2 linked regions of the Cricetulus griseus genome follow. The protein of the gene in region 2 purifies or fractionates together with the protein of the main gene of each other region. This does not show direct contact. Links are inferred from orthologs where the notes say so. Each region holds a gene or a part of one and is shown on either strand. Other genes may lie near its edges.

Region 1 (7,554 bases), on a different chromosome or scaffold from region 2:
GGCCAGCAGTAGCACCAGTTTCCAGTAGGTGGCAATGACCACCTCTTACCTATTGCTTCCTACTCTTAAGGTAGCCTTGTCCTGGAGATGACCCTGGCAGGTGGTCAGCACAGGCAAGCCAAGGCCACAGAACCATGAACTTGGCTGGCTGTGCTGGAAGTGGACAGGACAGTCTAGAGTCCCATTCAGTATTTGGTGATACCTTGTTTCTCTGACCCCCAGATGGGCTTTATTTGTAGAAGCAAGATATTAATTACCACACTGTTATCTCCCAGGCCTAAGTCCCCAGAGCAATCCTCCCTGACCCTGAGTTACTTACTTCTTCAGGATTTCCTGTTTCTTCTGTTCATCAGAGGTGGGCAATCCCATGGACTTCTGCCTTTGGTCATACATCATTTTTTCCACCATGCTGCGAGTCTCACTGTCCAGGTCTGACAGCTAGAGAGGCAGGGAGAGGGATGAAGCAAGCACTGGACCAACTAGCCCTCAACTTCTACAACAAGCTTCCCAGCCAACCGGGACTCACAACAAGCTTCCCAGCCAACCGGGACGCACCTTGGAGTTCTCAGGATTAATCTTCTTGGTATTGATTTCGGGGTCACTGGTAACCAGGCGGTTCCACCATTCCATTTTATTGATCTGAGAGGAGGAAGGTTTCCAATGGGGAAACAAAGCTCTGTGACTCAGGAATTATACCTCAATCCCTTTAGAACTAAACTCCTCCCATCCACATCTTGTATCCAAGCCCCATGCAGGCCTGTGCTGGGAGCAGGGTACAGAAGATCTGGACCTCTATCCACCCAGCAGCCAGGGGAAGACACAGGCCAGCAGTTACAAATCAATGCATCAGGGCAAGCCAGTGTGCCGTGGCCACTCCATGGAGGAGAGGCTAGCGTAACTTAAGGTATTAGCAGTAAACAAGAAGGAAGGGAAAAGAGCAAATAAGAAAGGAGACTCTGGCTGGGAGGAAACCCCGTACAAGGGCAGAGTGAGCAGCAGCCGAGTCACCTTCTGTGCCAGGGGAAGCTTGGACTCTTGGCCCTTTGCAGACACCACCTTTATTTACCCCAGTAAATACCCTACCTCTAGGAAGACAATGTGGACTCTATGAGGGCAAATTCTTCTACCATCTGTTCACTGTTCTCCAGTCCTGAGAACAGTGCCTGGCACACAGTAGGTGTTCAAGCATGTGTGGAACTGAACCCACGTGCAAGCATGATGGGAAGGAACAGGATTGACACAGAAGACCTGACTCTGCCTGCCCTGCCCTAAGCAAGCCACACAGCTGAATCCAAGCTGTTTCCTGACTACAAAGCAAGGGCGGAGTGAGGAGTGAGCCCCGAAGGCCCGCAACACTGTCAGAGGAAGTCAGTCCGCACCCTGGCCAGGCAGCGCCTCTCGTACCTTCTCCAGATGCACCGTCACCACCTTGCCGTCTTCAATGAGCCACGAGCTCTCCTCCACCTTTACTTCATTGTACAGCTCTCCGTCAATCACCGGCGGCTGCCCCTTGAGGCCCACCCGGAGGTGCCGCCGCTGGATGTCCACCACCACATCCTTCCCTTTCAGCCGGAAGCTGACTCGGAAGGGCACAGCCAGATCTAGTTCCGACAGGGTCTGGGTCCAGCGGTAGTTGGGCAGGTCAGCCCCGTTGCCCAGGTTGGGCTTCAGCTTCCCTTTGTCCTTCTCATCTTCCTCCTCCTCCTCTTCAGCATCCTGCTCACAGTCAGAGGTGCTCAATGACTTACCTGACAGACCAGACTTCCACCAGGCCAGGCCCAGAACTGCCACTGGACACAACAGCCACAAGAGAGCAGACCTAAGCATTGCACACCTACACACCCTGGGTCACTGGGAACCAAAGGTAAAAACCAATCCTGAAATGTATCCTGTGAGAAAGGATATGGCAGAGCTCACTGCCCCGCCCCTCAGCCCACCCTTCCTGGTGCCCTCTGACTTGTGAGCGGTTTTCAGAGATATTTTGCCAGCATGTATGCATGTGTACCGTGTGCATGCCTGGCACCCACAGAGTACAGAAGAGGGCATCTAACTGAAGTTAGAGATGGTTGTGACCATGTGGGTGCTGAGGACCAAACCTGGGACCTTTGCAAAAGCAACAAATGCTCCTAACCACTTTTCAGCCCACTTGTGGGTTTTCTTGTCCCAGGATTAAGGCCAATCATCAAAAAAATTATCACCATCATCAACGGCATCTCTCTACATAACCCTGGCTGCCCTGAAACTCAGAGATCCGCCTACCCCTGCCTCCTGAGTGCTAGGATTAAAGGCTCGTGCCACTATGGCTGGGTTGAAGAAAAAAAAAAAAAAATTTTAATATTTTTGAAATAGGTTCTCGGGGGCTGGAGAGATGGCTCAGTGGTTAAAAGCACTGACTGCTCTTCCAAAGGACCCTGGGTTCAATTCCCAGCAACCACATAGCAGCTCACAGCTGCCTGTAATTCCAGTTCCAGGGAACCTGACACCCATGGCAAAAAAAAAAAAAAAAAAAAAAGCACATAAAATAAGATTTAAAAAAAAAAAAAAGGTTCTCACTATATAGCCCATATTTACACCAATTTTTCTGACTCAGCTCCCTAAATGCTGAGATTACTGGTGTGGACCACCACACTAGTTCTGTTTTCAATGTTTGGGAAGAGTCCTCAAGGCTGGGGGCAGGAGAGGGGAGGAGAGAATCCCGTTGAAGGGAGGAAGCTGGTGCCAGGTCTATCTTACCTGTTTCCCAGGTGAGTCGAGACTGCCATTTTTGAGTTGGACCTCATGATTCTCTGCATCCTTTTTCTGTGACAAAGGGTACACAGTTGGAACAGAGCCCTACTTCCCAGGACTGATGCAGTCAGGGAGGGGGCAGAGGAGGGACACTCGGCCTCACCCGATCAATCTCCAGCTGCAGCCTCTCGGCCTCCTCATCAGTCAGCTCCTTGATCTGCGGCCCAGGAGTCTCTGCCTTGGCCTCCTTGGCCAGCCTGGCTGCCCGCTCTGCCTTCTCCTGACGTTCAGTCTCCTGCCGAGCTCGCTTCTCTCTCCGAGCCTTCTGTGCCAGCTGGTTGTGGTGGTTAAAGGTCTGCGTGATGAGCTGGGGAGGGCAGTGAAACATCAGAGCAGGGACAATGTCTTAAGGCCTAGGGACAAAGCCCTGCTCACCTCTGCCTTGCAACTGGTGCCAGGTACACAGCTGTGCACTGGTGAGGAGGGTGCTGGTACTGCTTCTGTTACAAACAGATCTCAAGCTCAGTCCCTTTAAGAAGCCTGCCCTAGCACCCAGGTCTACATTTCCTGTTCCTTGGCTGTCTCTCTGCCCCAGATGGCAGCACTCAAAGTCACACTCAGAATCAGCAAGTAGACCCCTCCCCTCCCAAGGGAAGAATCTATTTTCCTTCCTAAACAGAGAACTTCCAATTTCAAGTTCTTTCATGTCCACTGAGCAAGTATCCCATGATGCTTTAACCCCAGGACCTGCTAGATGTCCTCCCTGCCACCCAGGACTCCCCACCTAGCACCTGCCACAGGTCTGAAGAACGACCTGAGTCATCTCAGTCTCTCTGTAAACACAGCCTCGGCAAATGCTGTTCTCACCTAGAATGAGCTCTTTGTCTTACTGGTCAGTCTCCAGGACCAGCTCAAATGTCTCTAGCCGACTCTGAACAGACCCTACTGCAACTCTGTGGCCACCCACACTTCATACAAAGTGCATACCTAAGGAGTCCCCAGGGCAACCACCCCGTGATCAGTGCTCAATGAACCATATTCCAAGCACGTCTGCACCTAAGCTGGAAGGAGGCGCAGTCACAGAAGTCTCCTATACCCAAGGTTCTGTCAAATGTCCCCAGACTCATTCATCTGTGACCCTCCCTTCCAATCCCCAGCCCCATGCCTCACTGAGATAGCTTCAGACTTTGCAAGCAAAGAAGACACCACAGTGCCAGCAAGCTTAAGAGTAATGACGGGGGTTGGAGAGATGGCTCAGTGGTCAAGAGCACTCGCTACTCTTCTATAGGATCCAGATTTCAATTCCCAGCACCCACGTTACAGCTCATAGCTGTCTGTAACAACTGTTCCAGGAAATCTGATTGCCACATACAGACATACATGCAGGCAAAACACCAATACATATAAAATAAAATAAGTAAACTATTTCTTTAAAAAGGAGTAATAATGGGAGTGAAAGAAACAAGGAACTCAGAGGCCATGCTGCTGAGGAGAGAAACAGGTCATGAAGCAACTGCAAGAGACTGTTCCACCAAAGGGCCTTGTCCCCAGTTTCTAATCAGGGGGACCTTGAACTCAAGCCATTTGACAATCACTGGCCAAGGAGGGACAGGAACAGGGCCCTCCCTCTTCTAGCCCCATAAATCATGTCACAATCCACTTGTCCTATTACTTCCTAGCCACTGGAGGTTAAAAGAGGACAGACACGAGCCACCAGGCAATGTCAAAGCCAACCAGAACAGCCTCTGACCCTTCTTGCCAGTCCCCTCCCACCATAGGCTAGAGGTGGCCTATGCAGCAGAGGTTGTAGAGGTCTCGAGTCAAGCTTCAGCCACTGACACAGGGTTAGGAGCCACAGGCTGGCAGGCGGGACAGAGTGAGGTATTCTGGACCTGGTGGGTTGAACACAGGTGTTTTTTCTTTTTTCTTTTTTTTTTTTTTTTTTGGGGGGGGTTGAGGTAGGGTTTCTCTGTGGCTTTGGAGCCTATCCTGGAACTAGCTCTTGTAGACCAGGCTGGTCTCGAACTCAGAGAGATCCGCCTGCCTCTGCCTCCCAAGTGCTGGGATTAAAGGCGTGCGCCACCAACGCCCGGCGAACACAGGTGTTTTCTTAACAGAACTGATGGGGATAAGAATGGTTCCTAGTCTGGAAGGGCACACTGCAGAGCCACTTATGCCTAACCCAAAGAAAGGCCGAGAGCCTGACCTTGATCACTCTCAGGGTTAGTAACACTTGACAAGCAAAGGACCACAGAGGGATGCTCAGGGTAGCAGTGGACCACAGAGGGATGCTCAGGTTACTCAGGGTAGCAGTGGACCACAGAGGGATGCATCATCTGGTCAGGGTGCTCAGGGAGACAGTGTCCTGTTGATTCTGTCTTTTGGCCCTGCCTACCCCACCATCTGTCTCCCTTTCCCAGATTGTGTTAGAGCCGCATACCTGGCTCCTGCCCTTTCTCAACTTTCAAGTTGCCCCACAGGCCCCAGATTTCTCAGCAAGGATATGCCTAGAGTTGGGATGGGAGAGATACAGAGCCAGCAGCCTTTACCTAAGGAACAGGCAGAACCAACATGGCTTCTCTCCACCCTTACCTGTTGTGGGATATTTGTACACTGAAGACGTGTCATTGTGATTGGTTTAATAAAGAGCTGAATTTCCAATAGCTAGGCAGGAGAGAATATGCAGCAATTCTGCGGAGAGAATTCTAGGAAGGAGAGGCAGGGAGATGCCAGGGAAACTCTTAAGTTGGACACACGGTACAGAGCAGAAGTGACTGAGCCACATGACAAATGTAGATTAATACAGACAGGTTCATTTAAGTTAGTTTTAAGAGCTACTTAAGGAAAAGCCTAAGCTAAGGCCAAGCTTTCAGAATTAATATTAAGTCTCTGTGTCCTTACTTGGAGGCTGCCAATCCAAAGATAGTCAGACAAGGAAGCTTGCTACACTCCCACACCCCACAAACCAGTACCCCAGCAACTTTCTCCTAGGAAGCTCCTCATTTTGAGTGATAACTGTCATCCAAGTGACCAAGGCCAGAGCAAATAGTCACCCATGAAGACCCACCTGGTACCAGCCTTACACAGAATGGCCCACTACTTCCTAGCACGCAGCCTATGCGCTCAGCCTCTGCCCAGGTCCTTCTATCTGGCCTGCAAAGCGAGCGAGCGAGCGTGCGTGCGTGCGTGCGTTTGTGTGTGTGTTCATGCAACTTTTTCTTTTAGTAACTTCCACAGCTCTTCATTTACTATTGTTGCTTCCTTTACTTGGGACAGCCTTGTTTGGTCCAGGGCTAGCCCTGCCCCATTGAGGTGGCTTTCAGGGCACCTTTTGTTTCTTACCAAGTCAAATTCCCTGTCTTGTGAAGAACAAGGCCCCTGACCTGCACCTCACCCTGCCATCAGCACCTCCTCACTTGAGTGGCATCATGACGACTATGCCCATGCCCTCCAGAGACAGATGATACCTCTCTTTGTAGCAGTTCAACCATTTTTCTGAACGCAGGGGAATTTTACAAGACACCTCTTTTTTTTTTTTTTTGAGACTGGGTTTCCCTGTGTAGCTTTGGAGCCTGTCCTAGAACTCGCTCTTGTACACCAGCTGGTCTCGAACACACAGAGCTCTGCCTGCCTCTGCCTCCCAAGTGCTGGGATTAAAGGAATGCACCACAACCACCCGGCAGTACAAAACACCTTTCATTAAGCTGCTAACTAGGAAGTATATCTATTCAAACATTTATAAACAAAGGAAGCAGGGAAGGCTAACCTAAGTAAGCTAGGTAGAGGGAATCAGGGAAGAAGGTGACAATAGCCTGACAAACTCCCAAGATGGAAGTTGACAGCAGTTTACACGGGGCCTGATAGGGAGGCTCATGCTAGGATCAAAAGCAAAACAAGCCTGTGTCCTGTAACAGATATCCCTCTTGATTGACTTGGTAACAACCCTGGAACATGTTTACTCAAGCCCATGAGATTTTTTTTTTTGGTTTTTCGACACAGGGTTTCCCTGTGGCTTTGGAGGCTGTCCTGGAACTAGCTCTTGTAGACCAGGCTAGTCTCAAACTCACAGAGATGCGCCTGCCTCTGCCTCCCGAGTGCTGAAATTAAAGGCGTGCGCCGCCACGCCCGGCAATGAGTAGAGAAAAAACCCACCTCGTGAGTCACCTTGAAAACATACTAGTAATTATTCTGAAAGCAGAAACATGGGCTCTTCCTGCACAGAAGCAAAGAGTGAGTGATGGGAAGCTTCTCCAGATAAAGGAAAGAGGTAGAACAATGATAGGTCCATAGGTATAGGCATGACCAAGAACTGACAGCGCCAGAGAGAAACCACTTCTGTCTATCTACAGTGTAGTTCTAGGGAAGAAAAAGAAACCCTGCACCCGCAAGGTGGACGTGAGCTACAGTAAAGAAACCAAGTCTTTGTCCCAGGTTCCCGGCACAAAACTCCTAAGTCCTTGGTACTTCCAAGCGGATGGATCTTGATAGGAAGAATCTTGATAGACTTGATAGACCTGTCTGTTAGAATCCCATCTCATAGCTCAGGACTGGTAGACTGCTAGGAAGACTCAGCGAGAACTGAGGCTGGATCTTACAAGCCACTCCCCAGTGGGCTTTTAGTTTAAGATCTCATGCTGGGCATGGTGGTGCACGCCTTTAATCCCAGCACTCGGGAAGCAAAGGCTGGTGGATCTGAGTTTGAGGCCAACCTGGTCTACAGAGCGAAACCTCATCTCGAAAAACAAAAACAAGTTTAAAAAAAAAAAAAAAAAAAACCCTACTTATGCGCATCCGCATCTCTGAGCTGGTGTTCACAACCGAGTCCAA
Region 2 (8,198 bases):
AGGAGGCACATGGCCTGCAGCAATACACACTGGTACTGCTTGCTAATGAGGAGGAGGTCAGGAGCCCCACATCAGTACATCAGCAAAACACAACAGGCCAACAAAAACACATGGAGGTCCTGGAACCTACCGTCAAAGGCCAACTGTGATCATAATACCCCACTTTTCTGGATTGCCCCCTGCCCCTCCCCTCCATTCTTAGGTCCTTGACCATAAGACCTCTAAGAACAGGACCCTCCAAGAATAAAGAATGGTTCTGTCCTAGGGAATAAGTAACTTCCATGAATCCACAGAGGAAGATAGTTCCATGCTCCCTAACTCTGAATTTCATGATTTCTTAGTATTCTGGCCACCGTAACCCCTTCTCCTCTGGAGCAGAGCTATGACACTAAAGGGAAGCTATACAACTTGCCCCAAACAGGCTGACACTCAGAGTTCCTCTCTGTCCCCCACAACCCTTACATCCTCTCAGGTTCTCCAGACAGGGAATGCTCACCTGGCACAGCGGACCCAGTTGATGTGCTGGCTCAGGGAAAACAGGAATCTCTGGCGGTGAGTTGACCACACCTTGACTGTCTTGTCGTCAGAGGCTGTCAAAAGCGATTGGCCATCACTGCAGAAGTGGACACTCCTCACTGTGGCCGTGTGTGCTCGAAACACGGTTGACTCACCTTTGCTATGAGGATAGATATCCAGACTCAGGAGATTCCTAATAGTGACATGAGGACCTACAAGTACACCAAAGTTCTCTCTACCTCTCTAGGCCTGACTGTCCCAGTCTCCCCAGAACAGCAAGAGCCTCCCCAACAGAAACAAAGTGCTTCTCTCCCACCTCTCCCCTTGTGGGAGTCCTTTCATCATAAGGAGACAACCCCAACTGAAGCCCTCTGCTAGCCTCTCTCAGAGGTCACATGTCCCACTGTGACCAGCTCAAAGCCAGGGTAAAGACCCAAGGAGGGACAGCTCTTATACCAAGTCCCTCAGCGTTGTTAGTCCCTTGAGGCCCATAACTCACACATTGGGTATCCAGATTCGAACAGTCTTGTCTCGGGAACCTGAGGCAAGCAGGTGTCCTGATGGGGAGAAGTTCACACAAGTCACAGCGTCCTTGTGGCCCGTGAAGCGGTAGGCACGTGACTGGGGCTTCATGTGCCAAATCATGAGGCATGAGTCCATGGAGCCGCTGGCTGAGGAGAGTGGGTAACACGATGATTCTCAGACCTCAAGAATCTTGATCACCTACCACATTGCTAGGAATACAGGAGAGCAGGCCCAGCTCTACCTTCACAGCATCCCCAGCAGAGCAATGGAAAGAATCCCAGTGGGAGTGCCCACACCCTATAACTGCTGACATACAGTTTGGAGAGCTAGGGCCTGGCAGTTTTCCATGCCAACATAGGAACCAGAGTGACAGGCCATTCACATGCCATTTCTGTACTGTGGGGTCTCCTCATTGATACTCTGAGAGCACAGGGCGAAGTCCTCCCAATACTCAGGAGCCAGTCAGACAAAGGTCATTTACTATTGAAAGGACCAACTTGGTTGGGGCTGGAGAGATGGTTCAGCAGTAAAGAGCACTTGCTGCTCTTCCAGAGGATCTGGGTTCAATTCCCAGCAATCACATGGTAACTCACAACAATCTGTAACTCCAGTTCCAGGGAAGCCTATGTCCTCTTCTGGACTCTGGGGGCAACAGGCACACTTGTGGTACACAGACATGCATGTAGGTAAAACATTCATACAAATAAAATAAGACAATCTAAAAATAAATTAAAAAAAAAGAAAGAACAGACAAAAAAATGACTTCAGTTCCCTTTTTGCTTACAGCAAACCATTACACCAACAGCCTCTGGCAGGAAACCTTAACAATAAGATAAAGAAGCAAGCTGGGAAGTGGTATAATACCAGGACTTGGGAGGCAGAGGCAGGTGGATCTCTGTGAGTTATGAGGACAGCCTCATAAAATGAGCCTCATAAAATGAGCTCCAGGACAGCCAAGGCTACACAGAGAAAACCTGTCTCAAAAAACCAAAAACAAACAAAAAAGATAAAGTGGCAAGCCTAATCCGTGGAAAAAGAAATCTGCAGCCAGAAAGCTACTTAGGAACACCAGTGTATATAAGAAAGGGACAGCAGTATGGAGTTGGGAGATGGACCTTGTTAACAACTTTCTCACTAGTAGTAGGTACAAGAAAATATACCATATTACTGTGGACAATCAAACTGAAGATTCAAGGAAAAGGAGCCAGTTTGGGATCCCTGCCACAGAGCAGACCCAAGAAGTGGCCAAGATGTACAGGGGAAAACCTAGACCCTAATCTCTCAAAGGATGCCTGACCAGCACAGAGCCTGCATGGGTCTGCACCAAGGCCTCTGTATATATATTACAGCTTCCAATTTAGTGTCATTATGGGATTCCTGAGTGTGTAGAACAAGTGTGTCTCTGATTCTAGTGCCTTCTTCTTGGGCTCTTTTCCTTGTTTTGTTTATGCAACTCTAATATGAGAGTTTTTGTTTGATCTTAATGTATTTTATTATCCCTTAGAAGCCCGTTCTTTTCTAATGAGAGACCAAAAGGGAGTGGATCCAGATGGGAGGAGAGGTGGGAAGGATCTGCCAGGAGTAGAGGGAGACAAAACCATAACCATGATATATTTTGTGAGAAAAAGAATCTTTTGGGGGGGGGCTGGAGAGATGGCTCAGAGGTTAAGAGCACTGACTGCTCTTCCAGAGATCCTGAGTTCAATTCCCAGCAACCACATGGTGGCTCACAACCATCTATAATGAGATCTGGTGTCCTCATCCAGCCTGCAGGCATACATGCAGGCAGAACATTGTATACATAATAAATAAAAAAAAACTTAAAAAAAAGAATCTTTTTTAAAAAATAATTTATTTAACTTTATTTTATGTGCATTGGTATAAAGGTGTCACATTCCCTGGAACCAGAGTTACAGATGTTTTAAACTGCCATATGGGTGCTGGGTCCTCTGAGCCATCTCTCCAGCCCCCGAAAAAGAACCTTTTTAATAAAAGGCATAAATAAATAAATAAATAAATAAATAAATAAATAAATAAATAAATAAATGCTGTATGACCCTGACAGGGCTCCTAACATCTCTGAGCGTTATACTCTTCTCATGCACAATGGGGCTTATGGAACCTAGTAAGCCCAGTGTTCAGAAAGCTGACACGGAGAAGCAATACAAAGGACCAAACAGCATGTCCTTGCTGTAGCCTAGCGTTGGCATACCAATACTCCCAGGGAGAAACTCAGCCTTCTCAGTTTAGAATCTAAAATCTTAGACAAGATAGATGCCTTCTCTTACCCAGCTGCTTAGTGTTGAGACTGAAGTCCACACTGGTAACTGCATCTCGGTGGCCCTTAAAATGCCTCTCCAGTGAGGGGTCCTCCTGAGGGAGAGAGCAAGGTCAAATGGAAAAAGCCTGAGGAAGGGGTTTCTCTGGGACCAAGACTCTTCCTATAACTAGATTATGTATATAACTAGTTGATATATATGTATATATATCAAGGATATAACTTGAGTGTTTTTAACATCACACACACATATATACATACATATCTTGTTTTTGGAAATCCTAAGGAATTCACTATAAACTATTAGAATAAATGAGCACAGCAAGGAAGGGTACACAATCAACAAATACACCATGAACAGACAGATGAATCAATAAATCCACAACAAATAAACCAAATATGGGCCAAGTGAGGTGCCACATACCTTTAATCCCACTCAGGAGGCAGGGCAGGTAAATTTCTGTGAGATCTAGGCCAGCCTGGTCTACACAGTGAGTTCCAGGCTAGCCAAGGCTAAATACAAGACTTTGGGAGTTATATCTCAGCCATAGTAAGTTATCTTCCTCCACCTCAAGCATCAAAAACTTCAAAAAACAAAACAAAAAACAAACAAACCCCAAACATTTTAGGAGCTCCGAGGAACCCAGTTTGGGAAAGGGCATTCCTAAGGCATAGCAAAGCCACTGTTACTCCATAAACCTGTACACAAAACAAAGGTGAGGCACAGTGCCCAGCTCCGCCCCCAACACACCTGCAGGACCACGCCTTTTAACAGATGGAGTGGTAGTTAGGGGCAGAGAGGACGGCCTCCAACTAAGCAGCAAGTGCCCCATTCTGCCTCCTGTCCTCACCTGAGGACCTCACCTCTTGGAAAACTAAGGGCAAGGCAGTGCCTATCCTAGGCTCAGTGTGCAGAAGAGCACCCCTTCCGGAGGCCCTCTTCCCTGAGTAGTTTCCTGCATGCCGGCCTCCTCTCCCCTAAAAACAGTGTGTTGTTACGGATGTAAACAGAATATCAGATTGCCAGTCAAGAGTCTGTGTTCTATTTTTGCCCAAGTCTTCAGATGCGTCAGGAGCCACCGGCTACCACCTGGCCAGAGCACCAGGAACTTTGGAAGCAAACTCTTACTTAAAACACCAATTTGGAGTCCTTTTCTGCACTGGAAAAGGGGTCAGGGTCGGACCCAGGTCATACCGCAGGCCTCCGACACCTCAGGCATCCCAATGGCCTACTGCTTCCACTGGTTGGAAAAGATGCCGCCTCCAAGTAGACGCGAAGGACAGGAGAGGATGACGAGGCTCACACTGGTCCGGGGCCACGACAAGGGTCGGGCCTTGCTTGTGTCTTCCTCTCTAAGCCGTAAATCCCAGAGACAGGGACTTGTTTGTTCGCCCGGGTGGTCCAGCATTTAGCCTGGCACTTGGGGCGATGGGTCAATGCCCAGCCCCACCCCGACCTTAGATGGAGAAGCAACCCCAGAACCCCGCGCCACCACCCGGTCCTCTCGCGGCCATTGCTCCAGGCAGCTAGGCGCCCATTCTCCAGGGACTTACCGGGCTGGGACCGGCCATGGAAGGGTTGGCAGGGCTGGCAGAACCAAAGGCACCCCAAAAACCCGAGGTAGCTGCGGCGGCAGTTGTGCCAGTTCAGTTTCCGCGCCCCCAATCGCCGCCAATAGCAACGCCGGTGGCGTCGCCGCGTCCCGCCCAATTAAAGGAAAAGAGCCCTAGGTTTTTGCCCGTCGACCGGAAGTAGGGCCGCTCTACAGGCGCCACGCTCTCTTCCTCCAATTCCGCCAGATGAGGTGACCCGCCGAGCAGCCAAAAGCTTCAGTTCGCCGTCACTCCTTCCGTCTGAGAACTTAAAAAACCCTAGAAGAAGGTTTCGTCCCTTCGGCTCATCGCCTAGCTCGGGTAGCAGAGAGCGTAGCCTTTCGGGAAATGAAGTTCTACATAGCACTTACCCTACAATCTTAATAAAGGTAGAACTACATTTCCCGAGATGCCCCGGAGTGGGCGGAGCTTTAACATTCGGAGTGAAGGCCTTAAGGATCCCGGAAAGAGGCCACTAGTGCTGTCTTAAAGCTTCAAGGGCGCCATTGAGAACCTTAGTCATTCTCCCCTCTGGACCACAGAATGGTTCGTTCCTCCGAAAGGTCTTAAGTGTCTATTTAAAAGTACTGGAGTCATTCAGAATCACAGCCATGGAGTAGTGAGACCTATGTTCAATTCTTAATTCTCTACTCGTTTTACTGGGTGGCCTCAGGAAAAAGATATCTACTCTAAGGGCAGTCTCTCATTTTGTCCTAAAAGTAAATGTGATTACAGCCCTGCCTTCTCAGAACTCTTCAGCCTTGAGAAGCCTTTACATACTCTGTCTAAAAAAAATTAATATATGGGCTGGAGAGATGGCTCAGGTTAAGAGCACCGACTGCTCTTCCAAGGGTCCTGAGTTCAATTCCCAGAAACCACGTGGTGGCTCACAGCCATCCGTTATGAGATCTGGTACCCTCTTCTGGTGTGCAGATATACATGGAAGCAGAATGTTGTATACATAATAAATAAATAAAATCTTTAAAAAAAAAAAAAAAGAAAGTTAAGCCGGGCATTGGTGGCACACGCCTTTAATCCCAGCATTCGAGAGGCAGAGAGGCAGGCAGATCTCTGTAAGTTCGAGGACAGCCTGGTCTCCAGAGCGAGTGCCAGGATAGACTCCAAAGCTACACAGAGAAACCCTGTCTCAAAAAACCAAAAAAAAAAAAAAAGTGTAGTCTGGGGATAATCTAGAGAGAGAGAGAGAGAGAGAGAGAGAGAGAGAGAGAGAGAGAGAGAGAGAGAGAGAGAGAGAGAGAGAGAGACGCAATCCTCCGCCTGGCCAGCAGAGGCCATCCTTTCTCACTTCCCTCAGTGAAAGCCGAGAAGGCCCTTAGTGACCTTTTTTCCACCTGCGCTTTCCAAGGGAATCTTCCCAACATGCACCTGACCTGAACTGTATGCTTTGTAAGATTCAAGAACCTTCCATCACCTATCCTGAGCAAGCCAACTTGTTCATACTCCAACACTAATTAGTGTCTGGATGTGTCCTGAGGTTTCTTACCACATGCCTAGACTTGAGACTGTGTCCCTAAATCTTCAGGGACAGTAAACTCAGGAAACTGTCATGTGGAGAAGTGTATTTGGACCTCAAAGAATGATTCATTGGCTAAGAGTGTATATGGCTGTCACAGGGGACACAAGTTCTATTCCCAATACCTATGTCAGTTGGCTCACAACTGCCTGTAACCCCAGTTCTAAAGCAATTCAACACCTCAGGTCTCCTAGGACACCTGTACTCACATGCATAGACACAAAAAATATTTTTAAAATATCTTGAGGAGAGATGCAAGAAGTGGATATATATCTGATGCTGTTTTAACAATGTTGGCATAGAATTGGTTCCTTTAGGTTAGAAATATTTAGGCCAATTTAATATAGACACTGTGAAATTCCCAAGACAAAAATAGTTGATCACCTACACAATCTGCTCTGGATTGTTCAGCACTGTTCAGAGAACAGTTTCCCAGTCTCCCCATAACAATATTCAGTTGTTCTCTTGTCTGTGTCATGAACACACCATGCCAGAAACATGATGGACACATCTGAATATTTCTATAATGTCAACATGTATTGAACAACAATAAATTCACAAGCTATGTCACTTTGTTGTTGTTTTGTTTTGTGAGATAGGGTCTCTATCTTATACTGGAACTTACTCTGTAGACCAGCTAGCCTCCCACTCACAGAGCTCCCCCTGCCACTTCTTCCAGCAGTCCACAGGTTCTTTTATTTTTACTTTTTAAGATTTATATGAGCTGGGCAGTGGTGGCGCACGCCTTTAATCTCAGCACTTGAGAGGCAGAGGCAGGAGGATCTCTGTGAGTTCAAGGCAAGCCTGGTCTACAGAGCTACAGAGCAAGTCCCAGGATAGGCTCCAAAGCTACACAGAGAAACCCTGTCTCAAAAGAAGAAGAGAAGAAGAAGAAGAAGAAGAAGAAGAAGAAGAAGAAGAAGAAGAAGAAGAAGAAGAAAGAAAGAAAGAAAGAAAGAAAGAAAGAAAGAAAGAAAGAAAGAAAGTCTTTATTAGCTGTCTGACAACTACACTGGGCGTTTGGGATCCCAGTGTAGCCCTGAGCCTTTCTCAGGGAGAGCTTTAAAGCACAAAACCATGTTCTGGGTTGACATTCTTCAGTTAACAAGAACAGTTAACCAGAAGAGGAACTACAGAAGCCAAATAGCAAGATTTAATCCATTTAGAGACTTCTCCAGAACTGTGGACTTTAGGCTTTTGTTTTAGTTTTGGCAGGTGGGGCTATTTATGTGCTGAGTTTTACAGCCTGAATGGTACAGTACTTCTGTCATGAGGTCTGGAGCCCTGTTACAAGAAGGGTCTCATGTAGCCCAGACTGGCCTCTTGACCACTACATAGCTGAAGACAACTTCGAACTTCAGATGATCCTGCTTCCATTCTGGGAGTATAGGCTTGTACTATCATGTTTGGTTTATACAATGGTGGGGATTGAACCCAGGTATTCATAAATGCTAGGCAATCACTGACCCAACTGAGCCCCATGATCCCAATCTTAATTGCTAAGATTAATTCAGATCTCTTACTTTTACATAACAATATATTTGTAAATGTATGTGTATACATAAATATATGCACACACAATGTATTACATAGGTTACAAAATGACTACAAAAGAATTTAAGAGGCTACAGCATCATTCAAAGAAGCCTTGCTGGAAGGAGAGGTGGAGAGCTGATACAGATGCAAGGAGTTATTGCACGTTTTTATATGTGATATTAGTGAACACAGTTGGAGAACTGCTGGAGGGTCTTA

Evidence for each region.
Region 1: the proteins of Poc1a (region 2) and Nudc purify together in Homo sapiens (co-immunoprecipitation; 3 studies listed by BioGRID and IntAct, with this or other methods). This does not show direct contact. The link is inferred for Cricetulus griseus from reciprocal best matches to the Homo sapiens genes POC1A and NUDC.

The regions. Positions count from the first base shown.
Region 1 is NC_048595.1:19,729,120-19,736,673, reverse strand, and holds part of Nudc (nuclear migration protein nudC), read right to left. Parts: intron 3,095-7,554; coding exon 2,891-3,094; intron 2,800-2,890; coding exon 2,734-2,799; intron 1,717-2,733; coding exon 1,405-1,716; intron 640-1,404; coding exon 556-639; intron 439-555; coding exon 320-438; intron 1-319. UniProt on the Homo sapiens protein: Plays a role in neurogenesis and neuronal migration. Necessary for correct formation of mitotic spindles and chromosome separation during mitosis. Necessary for cytokinesis and cell proliferation.
Region 2 is NC_048597.1:214,481,422-214,489,619, reverse strand, and holds the start of Poc1a (POC1 centriolar protein homolog A), read right to left. Parts: upstream 5,267-8,198; 5' UTR 4,892-5,266; coding exon 4,874-4,891; intron 4,673-4,873; exon of another isoform or gene 4,515-4,672; intron 3,415-4,514; coding exon 3,330-3,414; intron 1,188-3,329; coding exon 1,016-1,187; intron 729-1,015; coding exon of another isoform or gene 677-728; coding exon 497-676; intron 1-496.